6 linked regions of the Oryctolagus cuniculus genome follow. The main gene of each other region encodes a partner of the protein of the gene in region 6 in a complex. Links are inferred from orthologs where the notes say so. Each region holds a gene or a part of one and is shown on either strand. Other genes may lie near its edges.

What was found.
Region 1: SMU1 (region 6) and SF3B3 share a complex: the UniProt entries of both Homo sapiens proteins name them as parts of the spliceosome B complex. The link is inferred for Oryctolagus cuniculus from reciprocal best matches to the Homo sapiens genes SMU1 and SF3B3.
Region 2: SMU1 (region 6) and ZMAT2 share a complex: the UniProt entries of both Homo sapiens proteins name them as parts of the spliceosome B complex. The link is inferred for Oryctolagus cuniculus from reciprocal best matches to the Homo sapiens genes SMU1 and ZMAT2.
Region 3: SMU1 (region 6) and MFAP1 share a complex: the UniProt entries of both Homo sapiens proteins name them as parts of the spliceosome B complex. The link is inferred for Oryctolagus cuniculus from reciprocal best matches to the Homo sapiens genes SMU1 and MFAP1.
Region 4: SMU1 (region 6) and IK share a complex: the UniProt entries of both Homo sapiens proteins name them as parts of the spliceosome B complex. The link is inferred for Oryctolagus cuniculus from reciprocal best matches to the Homo sapiens genes SMU1 and IK.
Region 5: SMU1 (region 6) and PRPF38A share a complex: the UniProt entries of both Homo sapiens proteins name them as parts of the spliceosome B complex. The link is inferred for Oryctolagus cuniculus from reciprocal best matches to the Homo sapiens genes SMU1 and PRPF38A.

What each region holds. Positions count from the first base shown.
Region 1 is NC_091449.1:56,643,659-56,648,226, reverse strand, and holds the end of SF3B3 (splicing factor 3B subunit 3), read left to right. Parts: coding exon 1-62; intron 63-747; coding exon 748-891; intron 892-1,690; coding exon 1,691-1,795; intron 1,796-2,449; coding exon 2,450-2,590; 3' UTR 2,591-3,081; downstream 3,082-4,568. UniProt on the Homo sapiens protein: Component of the 17S U2 SnRNP complex of the spliceosome, a large ribonucleoprotein complex that removes introns from transcribed pre-mRNAs.
Region 2 is NC_091437.1:28,335,631-28,340,641, reverse strand, and holds the end of ZMAT2 (zinc finger matrin-type protein 2), read right to left. Parts: intron 4,769-5,011; coding exon 4,623-4,768; intron 2,560-4,622; coding exon 2,416-2,559; 3' UTR 1,503-2,415; downstream 1-1,502. UniProt on the Homo sapiens protein: Involved in pre-mRNA splicing as a component of the spliceosome.
Region 3 is NC_091443.1:66,689,037-66,693,234, forward strand, and holds the end of MFAP1 (microfibrillar-associated protein 1), read right to left. Parts: intron 2,001-4,198; coding exon 1,911-2,000; intron 1,812-1,910; coding exon 1,629-1,811; downstream 1-1,628. UniProt on the Homo sapiens protein: Involved in pre-mRNA splicing as a component of the spliceosome.
Region 4 is NC_091437.1:28,289,898-28,295,265, reverse strand, and holds the end of IK (protein Red), read right to left. Parts: coding exon 5,337-5,368; intron 5,098-5,336; coding exon 5,079-5,097; intron 4,613-5,078; coding exon 4,534-4,612; intron 3,849-4,533; coding exon 3,768-3,848; intron 3,564-3,767; coding exon 3,506-3,563; intron 2,033-3,505; coding exon 1,944-2,032; intron 1,752-1,943; coding exon 1,643-1,751; intron 1,475-1,642; coding exon 1,440-1,474; intron 1,359-1,439; coding exon 1,331-1,358; 3' UTR 1,190-1,330; downstream 1-1,189. UniProt on the Homo sapiens protein: Involved in pre-mRNA splicing as a component of the spliceosome. Auxiliary spliceosomal protein that regulates selection of alternative splice sites in a small set of target pre-mRNA species. Required for normal mitotic cell cycle progression.
Region 5 is NC_091438.1:120,514,402-120,518,681, forward strand, and holds the start of PRPF38A (pre-mRNA-splicing factor 38A), read right to left. Parts: upstream 2,801-4,280; 5' UTR 2,570-2,800; coding exon 2,440-2,569; intron 1,747-2,439; coding exon 1,587-1,746; intron 200-1,586; coding exon 78-199; intron 1-77. UniProt on the Homo sapiens protein: Involved in pre-mRNA splicing as a component of the spliceosome.
Region 6 is NC_091432.1:196,460,779-196,465,880, reverse strand, and holds the end of SMU1 (WD40 repeat-containing protein SMU1), read left to right. Parts: coding exon 1-19; intron 20-2,500; coding exon 2,501-2,653; intron 2,654-3,239; coding exon 3,240-3,338; 3' UTR 3,339-3,749; downstream 3,750-5,102. UniProt on the Homo sapiens protein: Involved in pre-mRNA splicing as a component of the spliceosome. Regulates alternative splicing of the HSPG2 pre-mRNA. Required for normal accumulation of IK.

The sequences.
Region 1 (4,568 bases), on a different chromosome or scaffold from region 6:
AGGATCCTACAGGAAACAAAGCCCTGTGGGACCGGGGCTTGCTCAATGGGGCCTCACAAAAGGTAGGATTTCACAAAGAGCTCATGTGAGAAAGGCACACTTAACTACTTTTCCTGTTGCCCTCATTGACAGTTTTTAGTGAATTTTTCACAATGCACATTAGCTATGCTGAGTGCTCTCCCATGCATGATCCTTCCTTCTTGGAAATCCCATAGCTGTTGATACATAACCTGTAATGGAGGAATGTTAGGTTTGATATAAGGTGACCACTTCACTATTCTGCTTTTAGAAAATTTTGTGAAACGTCAGTCAGTGTAAAACTCTTTGAAGAATACATAGTTCCTTGGAAAACCTAGTTGTACAGATTAATTCCCAGTACTAACCAGTTTTTCCTCTTTAGTCATGTTTAAGAGAGCATCTCTGGACTTCTATTTGATTAAGTTAACACACAGAGAGAAGTAGAGGCAGAGAAAGCTGGACCAGAAGTGGAGCAGCCAGGACTTGAACCAACACCCATATAGGATGCTGGCACTGCAGGCGGTGGCTTTATGCACACCACAGTGCCAGCCCCAGGAACCCAACTATTTAGATGTTACCTGCTACCTCCTGTGGAAGTATTGTTAGCTTTTAGTAATTTTTGATTTCTTAAAAGATGACAGGTACCTTTGAGGTCACTGCCTTGCTTTTGGAAATCCAGAACCTATTTCCAAAGACACTCATCATTGTTTATCTGTTTCTGATTTGCAGGCAGAGGTGATCATGAACTACCATGTTGGGGAGACAGTGCTGTCATTACAGAAGACCACACTGATCCCTGGAGGCTCAGAGTCACTTGTCTATACCACTTTATCTGGAGGAATTGGCATCCTTGTTCCATTCACATCCCATGAAGTGAGAACCCATATTAATCTGGGCTGAATCTTGTAACTAGGAAAGTTCTGGGAATTTGACAAGGTGCCAGGTGTCACCTTCCTAGGGAGATAGGAATCCTAATATTCCTCCCCTTGCCCCTACCAAGACATTAGTTTTTAAGCTGAACTACAGTGACTAGAAGTGGGAGTTAGATATCTGCTAGAGCACTTTCTTTTTTATAAGATTAATTTATCAGAAAGGCAGTTACAGAGAGGCGGGATGGGGGTTCTTCCTTTGGCTGGTTCATTCCCCAAATGGCCGCGACTGCTGGATTTGAGCCAGTCCAGAGCCAGGAGCTTCTTCCAGGTCTCCCACACTGGTGCAGGAACCAAAGGACTTGGGCCATGTTCTACTGCTTTCCCAAGCATGGCGGAGCTAGATCGGAATTGGAGCACCTGGGTCTTGAACCCGTGTCCATATGGGATGCTGGCACTGCAGGCGGTGGCTTTACCCGCTATGCCATAGCGCTGGCCCCATGCTGGAGCACATTGTGCCTTATGGAATCATTCTAGCCTGATAGTCTAGGGTCTGGAATATGACTTCAAAAATTGCTCTTACCCATGATGTTCTCTTTTGTGCTACAAATACAGTACATTCTTTGGGGTTTTAGCTGTCCTGTCATATATGAAGAACCTTTGATCATCAGAAGAGTGATTAGATATTTACCATTTGTTTGCATGGGGAAATCAATGACTTGTTCACTGTGCTTCTGAATACTATCCACTAGTGGTTGAAATCACTTTTATTTTAGTGACAGGCTCTTTATTTCTTCCACCAGGACCATGACTTCTTCCAGCATGTTGAAATGCACCTGCGGTCTGAGCATCCCCCTCTCTGTGGACGGGACCACCTAAGCTTTCGTTCCTATTACTTCCCTGTAAAGGTAGCTTGAGGGAATCAGCCCTTTCAGCTGATCTTTTCTTTTAGCCTCCATCTCCTTAAAAATCAGAATAATGCAGCATAAAGGAGTGGCAAGGGATTGGATTGGGGGAGGGGTGCTTGGTGATTATATTCAGAATCTTCTCCCCTCAGGTCATATCATAGCCAAAGAAAAAGCTTCACCTAGTTTTGCTATTCTGAACTCTGACTACTAAGGACTGAGAATGTGCTCCCGACTCTACAAAGTAGAGTGATTCACTGGGGAGAATACAAAGCATTCTCTTTTTTTAATTTTCTCTTTTGATGTGTTTATTTACTTGAAAAGCAGTTACACAGAGAGAGATCTTCCATCCCCGGTTCACTCCTCAAATGGCTGCAGTGGCTGGGGCTAGGTCAAGCTGAAGCCAGGATCCTGACACTCCCATCTGGGTCTCCCATGTAGATTGTGTATGCCCAAGCACTTGGGCTGTCTTCTGATGCTTTCTCAGGTGTAGTAGCAGGGAGCTAGATTGGAAGTGGAACAACTGGGTTAAACTAGCACTCATGGGATACCAGCATCACAGGCAGCAGGTTAATCCACTGCTCCACAATGCTGGCCTCTTGTTCTATTTACTTTGTGCATTTAACCTTTTTTCCTTCTGATTACTTCATGTCTTAGAATGTGATTGATGGAGACCTCTGTGAGCAGTTCAATTCCATGGAGCCCAACAAACAAAAGAATGTCTCTGAGGAACTGGACCGAACTCCACCTGAGGTGTCTAAGAAGCTTGAGGACATCCGGACCCGTTACGCCTTCTGAGCCCTTCCTTGCTGTATATGTGGGGCTGCCAAGAGACTTTGTATTTTCTTTTTCCTGTCGCCACAACCACCACCACCACCTCGCTTCTGCCATATGGCAGGAGAAAGGTGACAGGAGAATTAATTAAGACTTTGCCGTTAAAACCAACAGCTTTTTCCCCCCTCATGTCTTCCCTTGGAATGACTGGTTCACCCTTAAAATTGGCATTGAGATTTATTGCACTTCTCCCTGCCTAGTACATGATACATCTGGGTTCTAGTGTGGAACATGTTGTTCCCTCTTCCTCAAGGCCATCCTTGCATCTGCCTTTTGTCTACTTTTGTACACATGCCTAATTTTTAACTGGTTTTCCTGTAAATAGAGTTTTGTACAATGTCCTTTGTGGAAGGGAGGGAGGCACACATTGGTGGGAACCAGGTTGGATATAGTATTGCTCTTGAGTTCTTCCACTCTAGGACCTACCCAGAAATACAAACCTAGTTTTTAAGGTGGCTGGTGTCCATGTGTGTTTTTCTGTTCAAAAGAATCTAGGTAAGAGATTGAAGCCTATCTTGGAATAAGAACCGAGCATCCTCCTTCCTTCTGAGTACCTGCTTAGACTTCTAGCACCCTGTGGCTGCCTACTCTTCCCAACTCAGTGATGGTTTTGTGACTTTTCCTGATTTCTTTTTGCCATGCAACTGAAACTTGGGTTCAGTAACCATGTGGACATCCGCTCTTCTCCCATTGGATATTGAGGAAGAGTGACTGATTTTTCTATCCCTGTTAGAGCTTCCTTCTACTTTCGGTCTTGAATTGATGGGTTAAGCATGAATACCAGCATGATAGTCTAATTTAACAGGCATTCTCTTTACTTCTACAGCTCCTGAAAAGATCTTTGGTCCTATGACTACTAGGAGAGGTCAGTAAGTACAGAAGGACCCAGATACTAACCTGCCCTTGGGAACAAATTTGGAATATGTGGGCCCTATTTAAAGGCCTATGGGTAACCAGGGGGTGCCTGTCTCTGAAGTGCACACACATCTTAGGTTCCATAAGATCCTCAGGGTATAAGAAAAGAGCACTGCGAGCCTGTTGGCAGGAAGTGGTTCCGTTTCAGAAATGTTTGAGCACACTGGAAAATTCCTCTTCTTCCAGCTGTGTGGGAAGCTCAAGATTTACCTTCTAGGCAGTTCATCTGCACTGAAACTGGTTCCCACCTCAAGTACCTACAACAGATAGGGGATGGGTCATGCAGAAGGCAGGAGCCTGGAACTCTGTCTGGGTATCCCATGTAGGTTGCAGGGACCTAAATACTTAAGCCATCATCTGCTGCCTCTCATGAGCAGGAAATTGGATCAGAAGTAGATGAGCCAGGACTGGGCCCAGGCACTCCAGTGGATGTTCTAAGCAGTGACTTGACCTCTGTACCAAACACCTAAACCTTTAACTTGGTTTTAGATCAGTCAGCAGAGACCTAAATCTTGTCAGAAATTAAACGTGTTCTTGCTGAGCTCATGGATCTGCACAGTGGATAGGACATCAGAATTATGTTTAGAAAGCCTCATTGCAAGACCTATTCATTCCTGTGGCCCTAAATCCATTCTGTCAAAATTGTATGGTGATATGCAGTTAAGTGTGAGAAACTAAGCCTCTTTATCCTAACTGAAGTTTGAAATATTATATCGTAGTAGGAATTACATGAAAAAAACAGTCTCTTTGACAATCAGGAATTGTCCCACTGAGTTTCCTCCACAGATTGTCCATCATTGCTTGCTGTCTGTAGGAGGAAGGCAAGGTATATTTCTTGAATGCCAGCAGGGAATTAGGCTCGAATATGTGAGAGGAAGAATTTGCCTCAAGATGCTCAAAAGGAATTTTCCTAAATAGTTGTTGACTGGATGAGGCTTAAATACAGATCCTATCTATGAAATTGTTAAGGGGACTTAATTGGCTCCTTTGGTTTGATGGAGCAGCTAGGTAAAGGAAGTCCTTAGCC
Region 2 (5,011 bases), on a different chromosome or scaffold from region 6:
CTTCCAACGTCAAGAGCTTCTCTTCAGAGATTTTCAAATCATCTGGGACTGCTCCGGACTCCTGAATTTCCACCCCATCTCCATCCGTCCCTTTTCCAAGCTACCACTTTAAGCCCCTCCAAATACTCATGACCTAGACTCACATCACTTGCCAGTCCAGAGGGCTTTGAGAACCTGGAATTTAGAATTGCTTTTCAGTAATTGCTTCTCAGCCCTTTGGAAAAGATCAGCTATAGAACTGCTAGGTGATCAGAGGTTGTACCATAGAGGGAGAGAAATCATTTGAAGCTAAACTGAATTAGATGACCTCCTAAAGAATGAAGACTAAATCATGGAAAAAACTGAAACCTGCTCCAGCTTGCCTTGAAAGGAGTGACAAGATGATCCAGTCAACTACAGCAGAGTACCCATGGAGCTCTAGTGCACATAATCCTGCCAAGGAAACAATCCACTGGTGTCTCCAGGAGGCCAAGACTCTATCTAAAACGTTGACCCATGCCTTAACCCAACAGAAGGCACAGTCACAGTGTTCCCGGAGCAATATTCAGCATCAAAAATTAACCAGGTAAAGGGCATGTGTGGCAGCAAGGGAATTTGGTATGAAATCCAGAGGTAAGAGTATGGTGCTCTGCAGAATCCACAGTTGTTCAGATGCTAAAGAAAGCGGCGTGAAGAGCTAGACAGAGCAGAGGAAGAAAGTAAGCCACATGGTGGCAACCTTGTTAACCCAAATAGATCCTTTTTCAGGGTACAGAATCACTAGCAGTAGTTGCATCAGTCATCTGCTTAAAATGACTATTACTCTTTTCTGTGTTTGACTGCTTTGTCCCCCCACCCCCCACATTCCAGGTCCAGTACTTGGTCTAGGGTAGCAAAGATTTGGGGTTTCCTTTTCATTAGCTAGTTCTGTGCCACCTCTCAAGTCAGACCATAGCTGGGAAGGCAGCACCATTCTCAAAGGTTCGCAACAGAGCAAAGGCAATTTTGCCCCCTTCACTCAGGAACATGTATATATCTTTTTTATTGTCACAGCTGCAGGAGGAGGTGCTACTGGCATCTAGTGGGGACAGGTTAGAGATGACACTAAACATCCTGTAACACACAGTAGTGTCTCTGTGACACAGAATTATCCAGCCCCAACGTCAACAGTGCCAAAGTTCAGTAACTGTGCCTAGACCAACCACAGCTAGTGAAAGAAACACTAAGTTAAACTGAGCTCTGCTGTTCCAAAACAAGGAAGATCCAACGAGACTGAAATTATAGAAATTCTTTTGTCCAGACTCCTCTGGACAGATACTGTATCAGAGGGAACTACAGTTCAAACTGGAGGAACCTAGTTAAAAAAAAAAAAAAAAAAAAAAAACCGGGGGGGGGGGGGTCAATGAAAGGGAAGAGGGGTCAATGAAGGGAGTATAGAAGCTCTATCTGGAAATCCTCAGTGAGATAAAGGAAAACATACAAAGGGAAGATTTTGGAAATGTTCCCACCAAATGTCAAACAGGCCCACTCAACGCTATTTATTATATATGTTTAACAGCCCTGTGACCCAAGGGCTCCCACAATGAGGTTTTGAGCTTTTGTTGTTTTTGTTGTTGTTTTCTTTTTTGCATCAAACAGGTTCTTCCAAGAGCCTGCTCACAAGGAAGACAAAAACAGAGAAATCCTCAGTAAAAGGAAACAAACAGTAGTTGAAACAGTCTACATCCGAAGAACAATGTTAAAAAACTCACCAGACACAAGCCACACCAAACACTCATCCCATTTAATTTCCTGTTACATGCTCTGAGGAGGCGAGAACATCAGGCCCCAAGGCAACAATGCTCTGAGATTCTAGCGCAGGCCCCCTCTATGTGACAGATTCATGCACACACATCCGCACACACCACTGACCCAGGCAGAAGTACACATGCATGCACAGGTGGCTGAAGAACCTCAGGGCAGGATGGGAGAAGGAAGGGCTTGTCAAGGATATCCCATCAACTGGAAAGTGGGGAGCCCGAGATCCCTTCTGCTGCAGGCTGAACATTAAGTCAAAATTAAAACAAAGGCAGAACACAGGATAAAGGTAGGATGCTCAGACAAGAAGGTGAATAGATGAAGATGCAGAGGCTTTTGGGAAAGCAGCCTCCGAGGGAAGGTGGGTTTTGTTTGTTTTATTGGGAACTCAGATGGGCAGAGGTCCTGTGACTCCAGCGATAAACTGAGGCTCAAGGAATATGCCATAGCATTACCTCTGCATCCTGTGCCCTCTCCCAAGGTAGAGGGAAATCACAAACACCCACCCTCTAGCCCTCCCCACTGACACTCTTAAGGATTTCCCCAGTACCCAAAAAGAAGTATTTCCCTTACCCCCAACACATACACACACAAAGTTAGGTCCAGCATAGGCCAAAATGAGGCCAAGTATAGAAAGCGTCAGTAACTTTTCTTCGTGGAACCAAAGCCAGAGAAGCCCATCACAGCTGCCATCTCATCATCCTCTTCAAATGTCAAGTCCTCCTCAGCCCTCCTTTTCTTCTCCTTCTGTTTCTCTTTCTTGTAGGCTTTAGCCTTTTCCTCCTGTGGGGGAAACCACTCAGACTCAGCTCAGACTCCTGAACTGTATATTGTCAAAAGATACATGTACATGTCAGGATTTTCTCTGTATTTGGGAGAAAGTAGTTAGACAAAAGCATGTAACTAACTGACATTCTAGCATATGCAGTACATGCCAAGAACTGTTCTGAGTACTTTATATATTTCACTTGGATCTCCAATATGGAGAAACTGAGGCCATATATAACTTGAAAAGATTCATAGCCATTAAATGGTGGAAACAGAATTCTGATCCTATCAGCCTGGTACCAGGGGCCTCTTGATGACTTGATCAATTTAGTTAATCCACAGAAAAGACTAAGGCTATGCACACACAGGTATAGGAGACAACCAGGAAATCTCAGTGAGGACAGCGCTGGGCACAGCAGGTTAAGCCACCACCTGTGATGCCAGCATCCCCTATGGGCACTGATTCAAGTCCTGGCTGCTCCACTGCACATCCAGCTCCCAGTTAATGTGCCTGGGAAAGCAGCAGAAGATGGCACAAGTCCTTGTGCCCATGCACCCACAGTGGAGACCCAGATGAAGCTCCTGGCTTTGGCCTGGCCCAGCCATGCCTGTTATGGCCATTTGGGGAGTGAACCAGCATATGGAAGAGCTTCTCTCTCTCTCTCTCCTTTTCTCTCTAACTGTGCCTTTCAAATAAACAAATCAATCTTTAAAAAAAAAAAAGAAAGATAAAGGAAGGGGCCAGTGCTGTGGCGCAGATTAATCCTCCACCTGAGGTGCCGGCATCCCATATGGGCACTGGTTCTAGTCCCAGCTGCTCCTCTTCCAATCCAGCTTTCTGCTCTGGCCTGGGAAAGCAGTAGAAGATGGGCCAGGCGCTTGGGCCCCTGCACCCATGTGGGAGACCCAGAAGAAGCTCCTGGCTTCGGATCAGCCCACCTCTGGCTGTGGCAGCCATTTGGGGAATGAACCAGCAGATGGAACACCTTTCTCTGTGTCTTTCCCTCTCACTGTCTGTAACTCTGTCAAATAAATAAAATCTTTAAAAAATAGAAAAAGGAAATCTCCATACCTTCCTCTCAAGTTTTTTTTACTCTAAACTTTTTGTTTTCTTTTTTTATTTATTTGACAGACAAAGTTAGACAGTGAGAGAGAGAAACAGAGAGAAAGGTCCTCCTTCCGTTGGTTCACACCCCAAATGGCCACTACAGCCGGAGCTACGCCGATCCGAAGCCAGGAGCCAGGTGCTTCTTCCTAGTCTCCCTTGTGGGTACAGGGGCCCAAGCACCTGGGCCATCCTCCACTGCCCTCTCGGGCCACAGCAGAGAGCTGGACTGGAAGAGGAGCAACCGGGACTAGAACCAGCGCGCATATGGGATGCCAGTGCTGCAGTTGGAGGATTAACCAAGTGAGCCATGTTGCTGGCCCTAAACCTTCTTAATGAAACAAAAAGTCTTTTTAAAAAATTAAATGAAAGCACAATTATCCATAAAAGCAAGGCCCAGCCGGCGCCGCGGCTCACTAGGCTAATCTTCCACCTAGCGGCGCCGGCACACTGGGTTCTAGTCCCGGTTGGGGCGCCGGATGCTGTCCCGGTTGCCCCTCTTCCAGGCCAGCTCTCTGCTGTGGCCAGGGAGTGCAGTGGAGGATGGCCCAGGTCCTTGGGCCCTGCACCCCATGGGAGACCAGGAAAAGCACCTGGCTCCTGGCTCCTGCCATCGGATCAGCACGGTGCGCCGGCCGCAGCGCGCTGGCCGTGGCAGCCACTGGAGGGTGAACCAATGGCAAAGGAAGACCTTTCTCTCTCTCTGTCTCTCTCTCTCACTGTCCACTCTGCCTGTCAAAAAAAAAAAAAAAAAAAAAAAAAAAAAAAAAAAAAGCAAGGCCCAGAAAGTCCAGGAGAAAAGGGTAGGTTTGAAGTCATTTCCTTCAGATCATGAGAGACTCAAATAAAGACAATAAATGTTTCCCCTAATATTCAGAACATACAACTCTGGGGCTGGGGATGCAATGAGGAAGAGGCCTCCCATGAGTCACGATATAAAATGCAAAGCTGGGGCTGTACAGGAGTGCCTTACTTCTTCTCTGAGCTCCTTCATCCTTTCCTCAAAATCATAATCCTTCTGCTTCTCTTCCATCTTCTTCTTGTTGACCTCAAAACGTTTCTTCACCTGATCCAGTGTAGATCGTTCCACACGCATAGACATACCCAGGTTTCGCTGATCTGGGTGAGGTTCAAAATAAGAAGGCAAGGTCATTACAACATCCTCAGAGCCTCAAAAAGTCTTTTCCTAGCCTTTTGAAAACCTTTTCATAAAGCACGTAACAAAAATAACCTGGCTGGGGTTGGAATTGTGGCACAGCAGGTAAAGCCAAAGCCTGTAATACTGGCATCTCATATGGGCGCAGCCAGTTCAAGTCCTGGCGGCTCCACTTCCTATCCAAATCTCTCCTCATGTACCTGGGA
Region 3 (4,198 bases), on a different chromosome or scaffold from region 6:
AGGGGCAGAAAGGCCTGACACAGAATTGATCTATGGGAGATTTGAATTCTGAACTGTAACACATTCTACATTCCATGTACTACCATAGAGAGGACAGTAATTTTAAAGTTGATGAGTGGGGCTGGCTCTGTGGTGCAGCAGGTTAAAGCCCCTGCCTGCAGCACTGACATCCCATATGCACTGGTTCGTTTCCCGCTGCTTTTCTTCCTATCCAGCTCTGCTTATGTGCCTGGGAAAGCAGTGGCCCCTGCACCATGTGGGAGACCCAGAAAAAGCTCCTGGCTGCAGATCAGCTCAGCTCCAACTGTTGTGGCCATTTGGGGAGTGAACCAGTGGATGGAAGACCTATCTACATCTCTCTCTTTGAAATAAATTTAAGTTGATTAGCATTGGTCAAGTCCCATTTGATGTGCTTGTTTCCTCAACTATAATAGGCTGTAGAACTAATGAGCTGGTGAATACACAAGCTTAACTTTGTACCTGCTTCAGAGTAGACACTCAAATGCCAACTCTAAGCACTTTCCAAAATGAGTTTCAAGGCCTTATTTTGGCTCTAGGATAATTCTTAAATTGTATCTCATAAAACAGTGCCTTGTGCATCTTTATTACTTTAATTACACTTGTATTTTCATCCTAGGACATTAAAGTTTTAAGAGTGATTCTTCTAGTGGGGCATTTAAAGGATGTGAAAAGACTTCGCTCTGACAAACCAGTCTTCTCACTGATTAACCCATGACCCCTGGAATTCCTTGTGCATGATGGTTATACAATATTAAATGTGAATTTAACACTAATGTGCTGCTCAGAGAGCCTAGGTGCCTTCACTGATACATGAGTTGGCTATGGAGAACACATTTGTGGTGACTCTGATTCAGTAAGACTGATGTCCCATTTCATGGGTCAACTTTTGTTCTATGTACATCTACAATAAAGACAGACAGGATAACCAAAACATTTGTATTTTTATACATGGAATAAACGTGTTCCATTGAAAGTATCAGTTTCTGAGAACAAAGGGGATGGTTAAAATATGAAACATCCTCTGTTGAATTCCCTGCTTTTACTTATTAGGTAGTTAATATAAGCCTGTGTATTCTGTGTTTGCATCATGATAAAAATCGGTGTGTGACTTTTTATTTGACACACATCAATGGATCAAGAATTACATTCACTTAGAAAAAACTGACTCCAATTAAAAATGGAAAACATTTCAATGAGCTTAGATTTCCTGCTATGTTACTCCCAACACTAAGGTAGAAGAAAGGCATTGTCCACTCCACTCACATGCTCATGTTTCTGACCCAAGCTAAGGGTCTGGAAAAAGAATCTCAGAACAACAGTCCCAAGTAAATATGGGAAACCACAGCAGTGATGAAACCCGAGATTTCTCAGAAATAGTTTCAAATGGGAAGGCTCCAGTACCCACATAGTGCTTTTCTGTGGGATTCTCAGCATGAGTCCAGACCTCAAAAAGCACCTTCAAAGACAGGACTACCTGTTATCACAAGTATGGTAGAAGGTCCAATAGCCTGGATATGCGGGCCATATAAATAATGGGAAAAGCAAACTGAAGACCAGATGCTAAGACTTGTTGTGTCCCATAGGTGGAAGAATTATGTAGTTGAACCCTAAGTAGTTTTCCGTTTCTTGGCAGACGGTCGCTCAAATACATCCCGTACCCCAGCTGCCTTCTGTTTGAAGAACTTGGTGTTCTGGGCACTTTCTTGACCCCATGCTGAATCAAAGGAGGTGGTATCTTGATCCACAAGGTGGGTGTATTTGGTACGGCCAGAGCGTCCAAAGTTCTTGACCTGAGAAGGATGAATGATGAGTTACACGTAACACCAAACATACTACACCTCTGTCCTCAATATATGATCTTTCTCTTATGTTACTAAGGTTCCCCATACCTGCATGACTTTAGGAAGAATGGTTTTGTTGAAATGATCCTCCAGGGTAGGTGCACTGAAATCTCTCTTGTATACTTCTTCATCCTCGTCCTGCAGAAATGAATATAATCAGTTATTTTAGTTCTATTCCCTTTTATTCAAGCCAGAGTTAATATAACAAAGGTTACAGAGATTATTGAGTCATTCTTCAAGGGCTTACACGAGTTACTATAATCTGTGTGCTCATTTACGCACATGCCTTCAACTATGAACAAGCCTCTCAACTCTGAATTTTCTACTGCCTTTTATATTATTTTAACAGATATTCCATTGGGTCTTAACTCATATCTAACTGCATAGGTGGATTTAGCTGGATAGGAAGCACAGAATAGCTGGCTGGGACTGGAATCTGATAAGGGATGTAAGAGCCCCAGGCATGGGTTAACTTACCATGCCACAATGCCCACCGTTGATTTAACTTCTTTGTAAGTAGGCCCAACATTCTCTTAGTTAACATAGTTTCAAAACTGGAGTAATCTTGTGTATATTCAATCAGTTGCCACATCTCATAAACTCTTATCACGTAGTTTTTTTCCCTACCATTAATGTTTCTAGAATACAATTCTTTTTTTTTTTTTTTTTTTTTTTTGACAGGCAGAGTGGACAGTGAGAGAGAGAGACAGAAAGAAAGGTCTTCCTTTACCGGTGGTTCACCCTCTAATGGCCGCTGTGGCCGGCGAACCGCGCTGATCCAATGGCAGGAGCCAGGTACTTCTCCTGGTCTCCCATAGGGTGCAGGGCCCAAGCACCTGGGCCATCCTCCACTGCACTCCCTGGCCACAGCAGAGAGCTGGTGTGGAAGAGGGGCAACCGGGACAGAATCCAGTGCCCCGACCGGGACTAGAACCCGGTGTGCCAGCGCCACAAGGCGGAGGATTAGCCTAATGAGTCACGGTGCCGGCCTAGAATACAATTCTAATTATGTATCTGCCTTGCTCAAAAACATCAATGGTTCTGTAGTAGGTAAGGCCAAATATAAGCCTTAATCTGTTTAGTTCTTTTTGCCACTTCCTTTTATAGCTGATACTTTTCTGCCTCCCCTCCTGCTGGAATGTCTTAACACTGAAAAGTCAAGTCAATCATCTGAAGTGTTACCTTTATACATGTCATTGTTTTCAATCAACCAAATACAACATCTCCCTCTTTAGAAACTGCCAGAGTACCTTCAGTAGACTTAGACCTACTTTTAGATTGTGAGCCTTTTGAGGGGAGGATTTTATATTCTTTGGTAGTGCATAAAAGGATACTTAATGAAACATAGCGAATAGTTTTGAACCAATGTGTCAGATTACAATGCTGTGGCAGAGATTACACACATACATGCTAGAGGTAATAAAAACAGCATCATCTTGGTTTAGGAAGGACCAGTTTTAAAGACAGGACTATTAACAGTTTTTGTGAGATCTTTTCTACTGTGGACTTGAAAGTCCTTCATTTAATCCTAGAAGCCATTTCAATTTTACTCTCCTGGTCCAGAGTTAATATTTGAGTACGTGTACCAAAAGACTGACTTCATATAAACTTTACCTATGTATTTTAGTCAGTAATACACTGGTTCTCTAAGAAGCATGGTTATAAAAGCTATTGAAATGATGAAATAAAGAAAGACACTTTATGACTTTCAAAGAGTAGAAGTAATTCTAATCTCTACTAACTATGGAAAACCATTTGTGCTGGAAAATCACATAATAAGCATTTCCTGCTGATCAGTAAGACTAAGGCTGATTTTGGAGAGTAGACATCTCCAATGAAGTTTTCAGATTTTACCAGTATCTGCAGTGAAGGGCAGGATGAGATATTTAGGCTTTGATAAATAGCACTTGAAAAAGCTAGTTTAATTTTTGATACCAACTTTCTTAACATCGGGAAATTAACAAACCATATGCTATCAAGTAATAAATGCAAATCGATTTTTCCATTACCTTTCCTGCTTTTCCTCTTAAAAGAATTAATGGTGGTGTTAATTCAATATTTTCTAAGAGGTGTGCATCACTTTATACAAGGCTAACAGACTGTTATTTTGGATTACTATCTATTTCATTGCCTGAATTTTTCTATTAATATCATTTCCTCTTTCTGAGAACTAGGGCCAAAATAGAGAAGAGTTGCTGCTACTTCAGTTGCTAACACTTTTCTCTGGGTTTATATTCTTCAGAGGCAAAACGTAAATGAGAAAGGTTGCAAGTGGAAATAACATTACAGAACAGCTTATTCTTGGAGAAGAAAGAATTCTAAACTTCTGAGTTATT
Region 4 (5,368 bases), on a different chromosome or scaffold from region 6:
TTTGTCCTAGTGTCAGGTATCAGGCCCTCAGACAGGCTTGAGTAACATGTTTAATCATTTAGGTTCCTCTGTCCACATCTTGCCCATCAGTTAGGGTCGTTCTTTCCTTCCCTGCTGGGCACACTGGCCAGTAAATATCCTTATTGTCGAGGAATATAGCAGCATAGCTCATGAAAGAACTGACACATCCTTCTAGGTGTGATTTCTTCTTAATTTTTAAAAATTTGGGAGGCCAGTGCTGTGGCATACTGGGTAAAGCCACTGCCTGCAGTGCTGGCATCCCATGTGGGTGCCAGTTCAAATCCCAGCTGCTCCTCTTCCAATCCAGCTCCCTGCTATGGCCTGGGAAAGCAGTGGAAGGCCCACGTCCTTGGGCCCCTGCACCCATGTGGGAGACTGAGATGCTCCTGGCTCCTGGTTTCAGCCGAGCTCCGGCATTTGGGAAGTGAACCAGGAGATGAAAGACTTCTCTCTCTCTCTCCCTCTCTCTGCCTCTCTGTAACTCTGCCTTTCAAATAAATAGATCTCTTAAAATTTTTTAATTTTTTATTTGAAGGCCAGCATGTTACAGTGAAGTTAAGCTGCACCTGCAATGTCACCATCCTACCACCTCATGTCCCTGCTGCTCCACTTCTAATCCAGCTCCCTAACAATGCACCTAGGAAAGCAGTAGAAGATGCTCCCACATGGGAAACCCAAATTAAGATTCTGACTCCTGATTTTGGCCATTCCCAAAACCAGACCTGGCCACTGCGGTCATTTGGGGAGTGAACCAGCAGAAGGAGGTCTCTCCCTTTCTGTCTCTCCCTTCCTATCTGTAACTTTGTTTCAAATAAATAAATAAAACTTTTTTTTTTTTTTTTAATTTGAAAGAGATCTTCCATCTGTTGGTTCACTCTCCAAATGTCTGTAACAGGCAGGGCTGGGTGAAGCAGAAAGCCAGATGCCTGGAACTCAATCAAAGTCTCCTATGTGGGTAGAAGGGTCCAACTACCAGAGCCACCATCTGGTACCTCCCAGGGTGTACATCATCAGGAACCTGGAATTGGGAGCAGGGCCAGGACATGAAGCCAGGCAGCCTTATATGAAATGAAGGCATCCCAAGTGACATCTTAACCATAAAATCACAACCAGAGGATTGGTATTCCAGGGACCCAGAAGGGAGGATGAACACAGAAAAGACAAGACAGCAGGTTAACCAATTTTAATGGAACCAATGATTATACAACAAAATTTTATATACATTCACAGAAACACCTTGCAACCTTTCTGGGAATTATAGAAAGAAAGCAGTGGGAGCCTGTGGAAATTCTCCAGTTGGAACTGGAGATTAGTACTTTGGTCTTTTGACTTCAACCCTGCAATCAAAGGAGAAACAGATCAGCATAAGATACACACACTAGGCAGTTCTTACCACACCCACAGAGGAAGCTGCTCACCCGTCAGCCTCCATCTTCTTTCTCTTCTCAATGATCTGCAAAAAGACGAGTGATAAATGAGTCACACAGCCAGAGTAAATGCAGATACGGCCCAAGACTGACCTCTCGGTCACTTGCATGGCTCTCCCTGTCTATTTCTGGGCCTGTAAGCCAGGGCCTCCTCTCAGCTGAAAGCCTCACACCTGAGGGACAGTCCCACTCACCGCACTTATCTTCTTCCACTGCCGGTCAAGCTCTGCCTTGTCATTGGTTTCCTTGAAGCGCCGAGTTTTCCGCCCCTCAGACATCTTGATGCCATACTGGAACGCAGCCCTGAAAAGAGCCATTGAGTGAAGCAGGCATGAGAGGTTGGCAAAGCAGAAGCAAGGTTTCCCAGAGGGCCCTGCAGGGACACAACCTACTGAAGAATTTATCATCCAGACATCCTCTAACTTGATTTGTAGGCAAGTTCACCCAATCACCATAGGCCTCATCACTCCCTGCCCGTGTTCTCTAACAACTCACTTGGGCAGAGCTTCCTTGTTGTTCATATACTCGCTGTATTCCTCCTGTGTATCAAAGTCCCAGCGGCCTAAGGGGCCCTTTTTGTTACCCTGTTGCAAAACAGAAAGGGGAGACAGGCAGGGAAGAGTCAGTCAGTGGAAATAGAAGTAGCCCTTAGTTAAAGCCAGACTCTCCCAAAATCCCACATTTCACCATTTGTAAGTCTTATTCTGGCCGGCGCCACAGCTCACTAGGCTAATCCTACACCTGCAGCGCCAGCACCCCAGGTTCTAGTCCCAGTTGGGGCGCTGAGTACTAGTCCTGGCTGCTCCTCTTCCAGTCCAGCTCTCTGCTGTGGCCCGTGGAGGATGGCCCAAGTGCTTGGGTCCCTGCACCCGCATGGAAGACCAGGAGGAAGTACCCGGCTCCTGGCTTTGGATGGGTGCAGGCCCAGCCGTAGAGGCCATTAGGGGAGTGAACCAACGGAGGAAAGACCTTTCTCTCTGTCTCTCTTTGTCTAACTCTGCCTGTCAAAAAATAAATTAAAAAAATTTAAAAAAAAAAAAGTCTTATCCTAACAAATAATAAATGCTTACTGCAAACTATGTGATAGACATTATTCTACATACACACCTAAACACCTCTTATTTAATTCTCACAAAGTCAGTGAAGATAGAACTATATTTCTCTCCAGTTTCCTGATGATAAAACTGAGGCATAAACAGTAAAACAAGGGGCTGGCACTGTGGCGCAGCGGGTTAATGCCCTGGCCTGAAGCGCCGGCATCCCATGTGGGCGCCGGTTCAAGACCCAGCTGCTCCACTTCCAATCTAGCTCTCTGTTATGGCCTAGGAAAGCAGTGGAGGATGGCCCAGGTCCTTGGGCCCCTGCACCCGCATGGGAAACCCAGAGGAAACTCCTGGCTCCTGGCTTTGGATCAGCGCAGCTCTGGCCAATTGGGGAGTGAACCAGCGGATGGAAGACAAGACCCTACCCCACACCCCCTCTCTCTCTGCCTCTCCTCTCTCTGTATAACTCTGACTTTCAAATAAATAAATACATCTTAAAACAAAAACAAAACAAAACAAAAAACAGTAAAACAATTTGGCAGTCACAAAATTAGTAAATGGTAGAGGTGGAATTAAACAAAGCTCCAAGAATAAAGAATGCTTTTAGCTACTGCAGTACACTGAGAATAAAGGAAAAGCAGATGATATTTCTTCAACATTAATTTTGTTTAATATTTAAAGGAAAACTTTAATCCTGGCTAGAATAAAGTTCACTTATTTTCTGAAGACTGCAATTCCTCCTTCCCTCTCCACACATGCGTTAATGCCTTCTTACGGACCAGGAGGAAAATCAAAGCCTGGCATATTGTTGTAGGAAACAGAAGGACTCCTGGCCCTAGCTCATTTGATCGTGTGCAGAAACTTCAAAAACAGCTCAGCTGCTCCCGACTTGTAATACTGCTGCTTCTAATGGTGCAACTAAAGGAGGGTCAGGCCCAGTAAGCGAGACACAGATTCCTGTAGAGCAGGAAAGAGGAGATATGGGAAAAGGACCCCATCCTTCCAATGCCATACCTGGTCCATTTTGCTATAATCCACCTCTTCATCACTATCCACAGCCATGTCATCCATCCTAAAGAGAAGCAATGGTAAAACAGATGCTTTAGACTCAGAGCTGTTTGCCTAGAAATGACTTCTCCTCTAGACTTCCCAGAGTCGAACAGTTAATTCAAGTAAGAAATATCCCTGAGTCCCAGCAAATCAAATCTCCACCTCATCCCCCCAAGTTTTTCTCCATAATCCCAGCCACCCCCCTTCCTTATTGGGTCTCACGTACGTGGCTGGATAGCACTCTGCGTAACTGTTTGACATGCCAAAGAAATCTCCCAGCTGCTTTTTGTCTTCTGGCTTCTTTAACATATGCTATGTTAAAGAAAATACTAAGGGCCAGCACTGTGGCAGAGCGGGTAAGGCTGCCACCTGCGGTGCTGGCATCTCAAATGGGCATCAGTTGGAGACCCACCTATTCTACTTCCAATTCAGCTCTCTGCTATGGACTGTGAAAGCAGTGGAAGATGGCCTGAGTAGTCCCTTGGACCCCTGCACCCATGTGGCAGACCCCAAGGGGACTCCTGACTCCTGGCTTTGGATCAGCACAGCTCCAGCTAGTGTGGCTATCTGGGGAGTGGACCAGAGTATGGAAGACCCCTCTCTCTGCCTCTCTGTACCTCTGCTTTTCAAAATAAATGAATAAATCTGAAAGAGGGGGGGAGGGAGGGAAGGAGGAGGGGGAGAGGAGGAGAGGGGAGGGAAGGTGAAGGGAGGGGAGGGAAGAGAAAAAAGAAAATACTAGATACAATTTCATTAAGAAAAACTTTAGGCAAGAGAGTCCAAGCGTCAGAAGTCTCAACGTGAAAATTCTAAGGAGAGGGCTAAGCTTCAGTGGGACCCCCAGGGGAGGGGCAAGGCAAGCTTTCATCCCTGTCAAATTCAGCATAAAGCAGAAGGAGTGAGGGGGCAAAAGGGAGCAGGGAGGCAAGTGAGGTAGAGCTGAAAAGGGGACAGTTCTTCAGAACCCAGGAACATATTAAAATAAAGGATATGACTCAGTGCCTTCCCAACCAGCAGACCCAGCAAACTTTTCATTGATGGACTTGATCAACTCCTTGGCAGAGCCAGGTCCTGAGAAAAAAAGAACTCTGCTCAGCCTTAGAACCAAGGCACTCACAAATTCCTCCCCTTGAAACACTTCCAACCTGCGCCTTTCGTAAAAATATTTTTTTCCTGGCAACAGACCCTTTCATCTAATAAAATTTTATCCACACTCCAATTATTAATGAGCTACTGTGGAGGAGATGGTGGTGAGGTAACCAGAACACTGCACAATTAACCTCGACGCACCTGCTCAAAACCCCAGGGCTACAGGAAATGCTATCTAAGACCAAACATATCCTGCCATTGCCCAGGAAGGTGCACAGAACTCCAGACTCATCCTGTCTATCCTGCAAGCAAGACATGATTCTTTTGAGAACCCACAATCAAGAAGCTTCCCAATCTGACCTTTACCAGCTCTGCGCTCTAGATCAAATTCAGCCCAGGGAAAGCAGCACTGTAATAGCTAATGGAAAAAACCGTGCACAGGACCCACCTTTGTCGACGTCCATGGGCTGAAAAGAGAAAACTGAGGTGAGTGTCACCAAGAGGGATTCCCATTCATCTCTCCCACAGACTGAAACAATTCCCTACCCCACTTCATCCCCATGTCCAGGATGGTTCCCCCCACACCCGCTCCCCACATTAGCTGACTCAGTGGCTGCTGTGAAGCCACGAAGCACTTACATAATAAATGGGAGGTCCTGCACCTAGCTCGGGGCTCCACCGGTGGTACCAAGGGCCCACATCTCACCTCATCATCCACTTTTGGCTTCTCAAAGTAGC
Region 5 (4,280 bases), on a different chromosome or scaffold from region 6:
CAATGCAAAGGTAGAGATATTGGTGAAATAAAAACTGGCTTAGGAATGACAGTCCAGAGCCTTGGTACCATACTCACCCCCATTTCGGTTCTGGCTCTTGATTTTTCGATAGTCATTATACAAAGGCTCCAAGTACTTGTAGCAATCAATCGCAGTGCCTGTCAGCCTCATGTAAAGTGCCCCCAACATACGAACATACCTAACAGAGATGACAGTGAAATAACAGGCCATCCCAAGACGTTTTTTAGTTTTACGATTGCTTTTCTTAAGACAACAATAGACAAACATGTTTTTTTCACTTTGACAGTCAAGAGAGCTCAAGTTGTATTTTGTACTAGCTTTGGGACCTTGGACATATTCAATTTTCAATTATATTATCTGTAAAATGTGGATAAAACCTATTTACCTCACAGGATTAATCTAAGAATCAAATGAGATACTAAATTTAACAGAAGGCATAGATGCATTAATTAACAACAGTAGCACAATAGATAAGAATGTGGGTTCTGGAAAAAGGTCATCCATCTGGGTTAAAATTCTGATTCCATTATTTGCTAACTCTGTGACACTGAACACGTTACTTGTCTTCCCCAGTTCTTGTAAAATGGATATTATATAACTAAGTCTTTAGCCCAATGTATGAAATAAGAAATGGTCAAAGTGCTAAAGCATATTATAAGTGCCTAACAAAAATCAGCTATTTTGTAGCTGCCAATGTTTTGAAAGATTCCTTCCTTTTCCCTTCCTCCTATATCCAACTACTTACTCAGCTCTCCACATAGATAACTACCAGGCTTTTGAAACCCAACAGCTTCTTTATATGAGAAGGAGACTAGTAAATATGAGTTCTGGAGTCAGTTTTGCCATTTACTAGCTGTTGACCATAGACAAATTATTTAATCTCTGCCTCAGTTTCCTACTTTGTAATAAAGGGATAATACTTTTACAGTGTTGCTAGGAAGACAAATGAATAATTATATGTAAAGCCCTTAGGATATAATACACAATATTCCATTATCATGTCTGTCTCTATACTGCTCTGTGAGCTTCTTGAGAATGGGATAAAATAGTTAAGAGCAGCTGATACTTTCCAGTTGTTTTCCATGCAACAGGCACTGTGCTGACAAATTTGCAAGCACCACCTTCAACTCTCACATAAATCCTCTGTGTAGGTATTTGTCTCCTTTTTACAGAAAAAGAAAGCAAAGATTTGAAAATTAAGTAACTTTTCCAAGGTTACAATTATTAAGAGTCTGGACATGAACCTAGATCTAACATCTCATAATTACTACCCTCTGTTGTTTTCTCCACTTGTGAGTGTCCAGTGCTTATCCTGTTAGGCCCTCACTTCTACATAATATATGTTCAGGGAATGGGAAATTCTATTAAAGGGGGAAAATGATCATGACTAAGAAAGTAAAGCAGATTATCACAATCAGAACAGAGAAAACACAAACTTAAGAAAAAAAACCTAGAGTGGAACTCTTTGTGGAAATGAGAAATGTTAAAATGTTGTGTAAAGAACTCTTAACAAAATCCCAATTTTGAACCACTGAACTTTTTGTATTAGTCAATATTGCACTCACTTGAAATCTTCATTTTTGATAAACTCTACAATGATATCCTTCTCAGGTTGAATTTGAAGCATCTTCAAGGTTAAACACAGAAAAGGAGTCGGTTTTATGTTGCCACCATAGACACCACCCACAAACCTTAACTCCATGGCTTTATCGACCACCAGTTCAGCTAAAAAACAAAAACAAATAGCAACACCTCAATCATATTAGGGGTAAGATTTTCCTGGTTGGAAGTGGCATTGGTTCAAGGTTCAGCGCTCCTCAGAAGTCACCAGTAGTGTAATAGAACAAGTGTGTTTTAATGGTAATACTAATGATGACAGTAATCCATACACACTGAAATATCACTATATGCCCGGATATCTAAGCATTTCACATTATCTCAATCTTCTCATGTCGTGAGGAAGTATCTGGCACTGTCCCCATTTCCACTTGAGGAAAATGGGGGGTAAAGAAGATTAAAAGACTAGCTTCAAAGTCCTCAGTACTGCAATTCAAATTAGGACTCGCACCCGGAAATAGTGAGCTGGCCCGCAGTTAAGGGCACTGAGATGAAGAATACTGTGTCGGACACTTGCGGCCCTTTGATAGCTCAAGAGGATACGTCAAGGAGCTACAGTAGGTTCCTGAGCCGAAGATTGCTCAGAACCCTGCACGCCACCGTTAAGCGGGGAATGACTCCAAGAACTCGAGAAACCCTTCAGAATACGGCGAGGCCCTATCAGATTCATCTGTGCCCCCCACGATCCACAAAAGACGAGGAAACAGCTGGCGCTCCTGTCTGAACGACTGACACGCTCTCCCCCAGCCCCCCGGCGCCCAGTCGGGACTAAGGAGCCACGCCTCGCGCGATCCCGCTCACCCGTAAGCCCAAAGCACTCCTCTTTCCAGTACTTGGACTCATAGATTCGCGTCCGAATGATCTTCTCCACCAGGTACTGAGGGTTGGTGCCGTGGATGCTATGCGCATCCTTCACAGTACGGTTCGCCATTTTAGAACGCCTTCAGCCCCACTTCCGTCGTGTTCTTTAATGCGTCACATCCAGAGTTAAAAAAAACCGCCGAGTCTCAGAGGGGGAGGAGGAGGAGGAAGCCTCTTCGGTTGCTTAGACGACCATCTTGAAAGCGGAAACACCACAGCCCGGAGAACGCCCGCGAGGCGCGTTGCGCCGCGGATCCACCATGGCCGCCGCACGTAGGCGGCAGTACGCCGTGCGTCCCCCGGGGTGGGCGGGGCGACCGGGCCAGTGGCGTAACGCGAGGGCGGTCTGGGGGCGGGGCTACGCCGTTTGGCGGGAATTTTTTTTTCTCCACATTCCTTCTATTCCTACCCGAGCGGTAGCTTTGGCTCTCGCGTGCGACCGGTGGCTGTGAAAGGAGGATCGCAGCTGTGGAAAGTTGCTGTGGAGAGTTGCTGCAGCCCCCGGAGCTCCCGAAGCAGGAGCGGAGGGAAGCGAACGGCTTGCGGTTCGAGCGAGAAGTGTTGGCGCCCGGTGAGTGTGCATCGCGCGGACTGGAAGGCGACCTGAGCCCCTAAAACCGCCGTTTTCCTCTGTAGACTCATTTATCCTTAATTCACCCGGCAGCAGACAGCCACTGTTCGCACTCCCGCTAGGAGAGTTCCTCTTTCACGTCGGATTCCTAGAAGGCTTCCTGCTCCGCTAAGGACGCACAGTTCGCCCTGGGGAACCAGAAGCCAACAGTAGAGAGGCGCGTGCGTGCCTGCCTTCAGCGCCCTTAATCTCTTCACTGAGGATTTTAGTCTTTCCTTCCATTTGCGTTGCCTTTGTCCAGGACTCACGTTGTTTCCGTCTTTGAGCTGTAGTGTGCGAAACACTGCAGAGCGGCGGAGCGGATGCTATCGCTCCATTTTACGGATAGAGTAGTTGGGGCCAGAGAGGGAGCTCGGGGTCGTTTGTGACCTAGCGGCCAGGGCTCATTATCCAGGTCGTCTTCTTGAAGATGAGCTGCTCTGAACTGCCGGGTTCCCCCGCATCTTCTTTCCAGGAGGGAAACTCAGTGATACTTCCAGTCCAACCCGCAGTAGGGGGACCTTCTGTCGTGACAGCTGGAAAAAGCACTGGACTGAGTGGGAAAAGATGGCGAGATTCTTATCCTGTGTGTTGTTTGTGAAACTACGATGATTAGGTCTGCTTTGAGCTGTCAATCAATATGATTAACGATATCCCCTTCCCTGGCATATTAGATGGGTTGTGAATGTCAACGGTTTCCGGTGTGAGATAATAAGTTACCGTGTCTCATTGGTTTTTTGTTTTTTTTAAGGTTTATTTCTGGGGCCGACTTTGGGGTGTAGAGGTTAAGCCTCCATCTGTGATGCAGACATCCCACATGGGTCCGCCAGTTGGAGACTCAGTTGCGCTCCACTTCCCATCCAGCTTTCTGCTAATGCGCCTGGGAAAGAAAGCAGTGGAGGATAGCCCAAGTTCTTGGGCCCTACACTCCTGTAAGAAATCAGGAAGAAGCTCTGGGCTCCCGGCTTTTGCCTGGCCCAGCCCCACTGTTGCAGCCATTTGGAAAATGAACCAGCAGATGGAAGATCTCTCTCGTGCTCTGTCTCTTCTCTCTCTGTAACTCTCCCTTCCAAATAAATAAAATATTAATCTTTTTTTTTAAAGATTTACTTATGTATTTATTTATAGAGTCAGAGTTACAGAGAGGGGAAGAGACAGAGACTTCCATCTG
Region 6 (5,102 bases):
CATGAACATGCAGGGACAGGTGAGTGTGGAGATAGGACCTATGCGCAGCACTCGTGGGCCGTTCCTAATCCAGTATGTCCAGGTCTTGGCTCTCCCAGTAACCAAATACGGGTTCACTACTCTGTGAACTGTGGAAGCTGTATTTATTCCTCAGAGACTTATGTAAACCATAACCCTACGAAACATCTTCGGTGTTTCAAAAGTACCTCCTTCCCTGGCAGTGCTTACATAGTACTGCTTTTTCTTTCTTATCCGTTGTGTAAATACAGCTCTGCTTGGTCTTTAAGATTCCTTCAGAACCTTATTGAATACTTGAAGATAACAGTCTTTGTTTGCTTAGGAAAGATACACTGGTGTGGATTTCCAACTTGGGTCGTCTCCCAGATAGCACATGAGCTAAACTGGAGCACTAATAATAGGAAAGACAGTGGTGTCCTTGTGAAGTGCATTTGTAATCAGGATGCCTGCGCGGTTTCCCTGGGAATCTCATTTCTGTGGACTGGGGCATTTGGAGTGGGCTGGGCATGCATCGCAAGTGCTATGGAAACACAGGCCTGGGCACTCTCCTGAGCATGAAGAAGACCCAAGGGTTGGTGTGCCGAGTTCTCTCCACCCCTCGGGCCCTGCACCTAATGAGCTGGTGGTTCACAGCCCACGGCTGAGACTGCTAGTCTGCAGCGTCCCCTGGGCCACTGCATAAGAGCCACAGCTGCCTGGTGCATCCTCTAAGCATACCTCCTAGTACATGATTTGAAAAAATAGATTCTTAAAGCCAGGAGCCTACAACGCCATCTGCTTCTCCCATGTGGGTGGCAGAAACCCAGCCATCGTCTGCTGCTTTCCCACGTACATTAGCAAGGAGTTGGATCAGAAGCAGAGCAACCGAGACTCCAACCGCTGCTCATATGGGATGCTGGCATCATAGGCAGCAGCTTAGATTGCTGTGCTGCAAGGCCAGCCCCACCTTGATATTTTTCATCAGAGTTTTGTAGTTTCTCTCATGTAAAATAAGTTTTTTATACTTATTTGAAAGAACAGAGAGACCTTTATTTCTTTTTAAGATTTGTTTCTTTATTTGAAAGGCAGAGTTACAGAGAGAGAGTCTTCCATCCACTGATTCACTCCCCAAATGGCCATAATGGCTGTAGTTAGGCCGGTCTGAAGATAGGAGCTAGGAGCTTCTTCTAGGTCTCCCACGAGGGTGCAGAGGTCCAAGCACTTGGGCCATCTTACACTGCTTTCCCAGGCTTAGTAGCAGGTAGCTGAATTGGAAGTGGAGCAGCCAGGACTCTAACCACTACCCATATGGGATGCCAGCACTGCAGGCTGAGGCTTAACCTACTATGCCACAGCACCCGCCCCTGAGAGAGATTTTATATTCCCTGGTTCACTCCTCAAATGCTGGCAATGGCTAAGACTGGGCTGGCCGAAGTTAGGAGCCAGAAACTCAAACCAGGCCTTTCATGTGGATAGCAGGAACCCAATTACTTGAGCCAGTATCTGCTGCCCCCCGTGTCTGCATTAGCAGGAAGTAGGAGCTGTAGCTGGGCTTTGCAGCTGGACACGCCAGTGTGGGATGTGGGCGTCCTAACTGGTGACAACTGCTAGGCTAAATGCCTGCCCTGGTTTAGTGCAACACACAGCTGCTGGAGTTTTCTGTTATTGTCATTTTGTCCTTTAGAGAATGGTATTTTGTAAATGGAATCGTGCAGTAGGTAATCTTTAGGCTTTTTGAAATTAGTTTCTAGGGGAAGTGACACAGTGTGGTGGGGTAGTTTTCCCTATCGGAGTTCAAGTCCCAGCTCCTCTGCTTCTGATCCAGCTCCCCATGAATGCACCCTGGGAGGCAGCAGATGATGGCTGAAGTTCTTGGGCCCCTGCCCAAGGGTTAGGGTTAGGGTATGGGAAACTAGATGGAATTCCTGGCTTCAGCCTGGTCCATTCCTGGCTGTTGCGGACATTTGAGGAGTTAACCAGGGACTGGAAGATTGATCTTCTCTGTCCTTTCAAGTTGTTGAAAAATCTTAAAAAAAAAAAAAAAAAAAAATTGTTTTTTTCTCAGGTTGATTTATGTCTTAGGGACAGAGTTTGATCCTGCATGGGAAGAACAACTCATTCTGTTAGAGGAAACTGGGTATGAATATGTGTCCAGAAAGCTTGAGATTGGAAGGATTTTGTGTGTGTGGTAATGAATTTGCTTCAGGGTAGCAGGACTCAGGCTGAAGAGCAGTATTGATGACTTGGGAATGTATAAATTCAGGATCCCTGCCCTTGCAGCTCATGGAATGAGTATTTTCCAGGCAAGAGAATTTAGCACATGAGTGAAATTTGAAAGTTAGAAATCACAGTGAACTGAAGTACAAAATAAGTGTAAAAATATCAGCTAAAAAAATGTCATCTGTAAGTGTAGTTTATATTAACGAAGGTTTGAAAAAGCTCCAAGAGGTTGCGTACTGGTCACCCATGTTTTGTTTTCGTCTTGTGGTGTGGCGCAATCTAGATCGTCAGAAGCTTCAGCTCCGGTAAGAGAGAAGGCGGTGACTTCGTTTGCTGCGCCCTCTCCCCCCGGGGTGAATGGATCTACTGTGTGGGGGAGGACTTTGTGCTCTACTGTTTCAGCACAGTCACTGGCAAACTAGAGAGAACTTTGACGGTGAGTACTGCTGACCAAGGGCGTCTAAGAGCTTACGGCCAATGCTTGTGCCTCAGTATAAAAAATCTAACAGAGGCCTTTATGACACATTGAGAGTCCATATGTACTTGTATGAAATTACCTCCTTCGTCAGGAAAAGCCGTCCTTCAGTGACCGTGCAGCTGCAGGTGGGCAGGATGGCGCACTGTACACAAAGCAGAGAAGGAAGAGAACCACCCATCTAGCCAGCTAGATTATGTCTTCCTCGTGGGGGCTGGGGATTGAAGGAGGCGCTTTCTCTGTGTCTTTCTAGGGGCAGATTAGTTTTATGTTACTCTCTCAAATTGATTACGATGTTTTTAAAACTTTAGCTCTATGTATGATAAAAGTACATGGAGTAATTCATGCCAGCTGCTGTAACAAATAATCTGCAAAAATCTCAGTGGCTTAACACTATGTCACCATGTGATAGTTGGATACAGTCCTCCCTCCTATCTGCTTAGGAACATGCAGCCTCCCACGACCTCGTGCCTCCCACCTAGTTCAGGCAGGCTCTTCAGAGGGATTCATTACAGGCCTGTGCCACCTAATGCTGCGCTGTTTCCAGGTCCATGAGAAGGATGTGATTGGTATTGCACATCACCCTCATCAGAACCTGATTGCCACCTACAGTGAAGACGGACTCCTAAAGCTCTGGAAACCCTAACTCTCTCAACCAGCTTGGAAGCATGTACTTAAATGAAGACAGATCCATGAGTCGCTCCCCGCTCCCCCAGCCCCTGCCCTGAGGCCAGCTTTTCTAAGTGAACAGATCATCTTAATTAGGTACAAGAATACTTTTGTGAAAATTCGTGTTGCAGTAGCAGTAACCCTTTTTTAAATGTATTTTTAAGGTATTAGTTAATCTGTTTCTAACTGGGGCTGTCACTTATGTTTTCATTAATCTACCTAGAGCATAAAATACTGATATTTCTTAGAAAAATATTGTACCCCTTTGATTATCTGAAATGCTGATTAAAATGTGCCTCCTATATTAAAACTTGTAAATAAGGAACTACCCCTTAATTCAGTAGCTATTTTTTTTTTAAGATGTTAATAAACTTTACACCTTTCTGGAGACTTGTTTTAAGTATACATAATGCTCACCTAGTTAACATATTTACTTTGAATCAAGGGAAGAGGGGATGTCATCCTACCTGAATCTCAAGTCCAACAGGAAGTGGATTCCTGGGATAGGGTAGACTAACCTGTGGAAAGGCCAGGATGCATAGATCTCATTTCACTGCTCTCACCCTGCCCTCACGGTTCATTCTGAACCGTGCCTCTGCCCATGTGCATGTCAGCTCCAGGACTGTCTTCCGGAGGATCATTTATAAAAGTTTCAGCATTTCCCTTTCACAAGTAGAGGATTTGGCATTGAAAATCAGCTATTGTTCTGAAGGAAAATTAGAAAAGGACCTGGGGATTTAGAAGTCTCTTACAAGGTGCAGAACCATCAGTTGGCTTAAGAAAATTTAAAAGCCAATAAAACCTTTGGAAGTGCTTTGCTCAGTGTCTGATTTTCCAACCAAAGATGTATGAAGGTGCTATGCTATGTGCTATTTCCAGAATGTAAAATCTTATTTCTCTAGGCCTTTAATGCCCACTTTTTAAAGTTTGCAGTGTTTTATAATTTACCTCTGACCATGACTTTAAATACTGATCTTGTGCTTGACACATAATGCTCCAGGTTGGCTGAATTAATTCTGGGCAGCACTAAGAAATTCCTGTTTTCCAGTTACCTTATTTTCCTTCTGCCATAAAACCTGCGTAGCGTTTTGACGTTTCAAGAATGCTAGGGGGAGCTGGTTTTCACCCAGATGGCTCTGAAGGCAAAGAAGAAAGCTCTGGGTCCTTTGCAAAGCTGCTGAAGCTAAAGCAAAGGCTTTCAAAGCCAAGAAAGCAGTGCTGAAGGGAGTTCCGGCACAGAAATCTACACATCACCCATCTTCCACTGTCACGTTATCTGTTACAGAACTTACTGATATCATAATGTTCAGGACCAAACATTAACTGAAGACGACACTAGGTTCTGGAGGCAGCCCAAATTTAAGTGTCTTCCAAAGGGAACCCCCACAGGAGAAACAAGCTTGCCTGCTATGCCATTAGGAAGTTCCCTGATCACTGGTTCCACCACCAAGACTGAAAATGAAAATGCAGTTGTACCCATGGAGGTGCTCAAGACCAACTAGCACCAGCTCAGACTGTGAACACTGATGTGGCCAAGGTCAGGCTTGATGGGAGAAAGCAAGCTTGTGTTCATCTGGCTCCTGCTTTGGATGTTGCCAATAAAATTGTGATCTGAGTGCAGCTGGCTAATTCCATTGTATGTGTGTCTGAGATGATTTATTTCAAAGGTACACTGAGATTTGTTCACCTGCCTAACGGACACAACAGGGTTTGGTCAGAATGAAGCCAGGAGCCAGCCCAC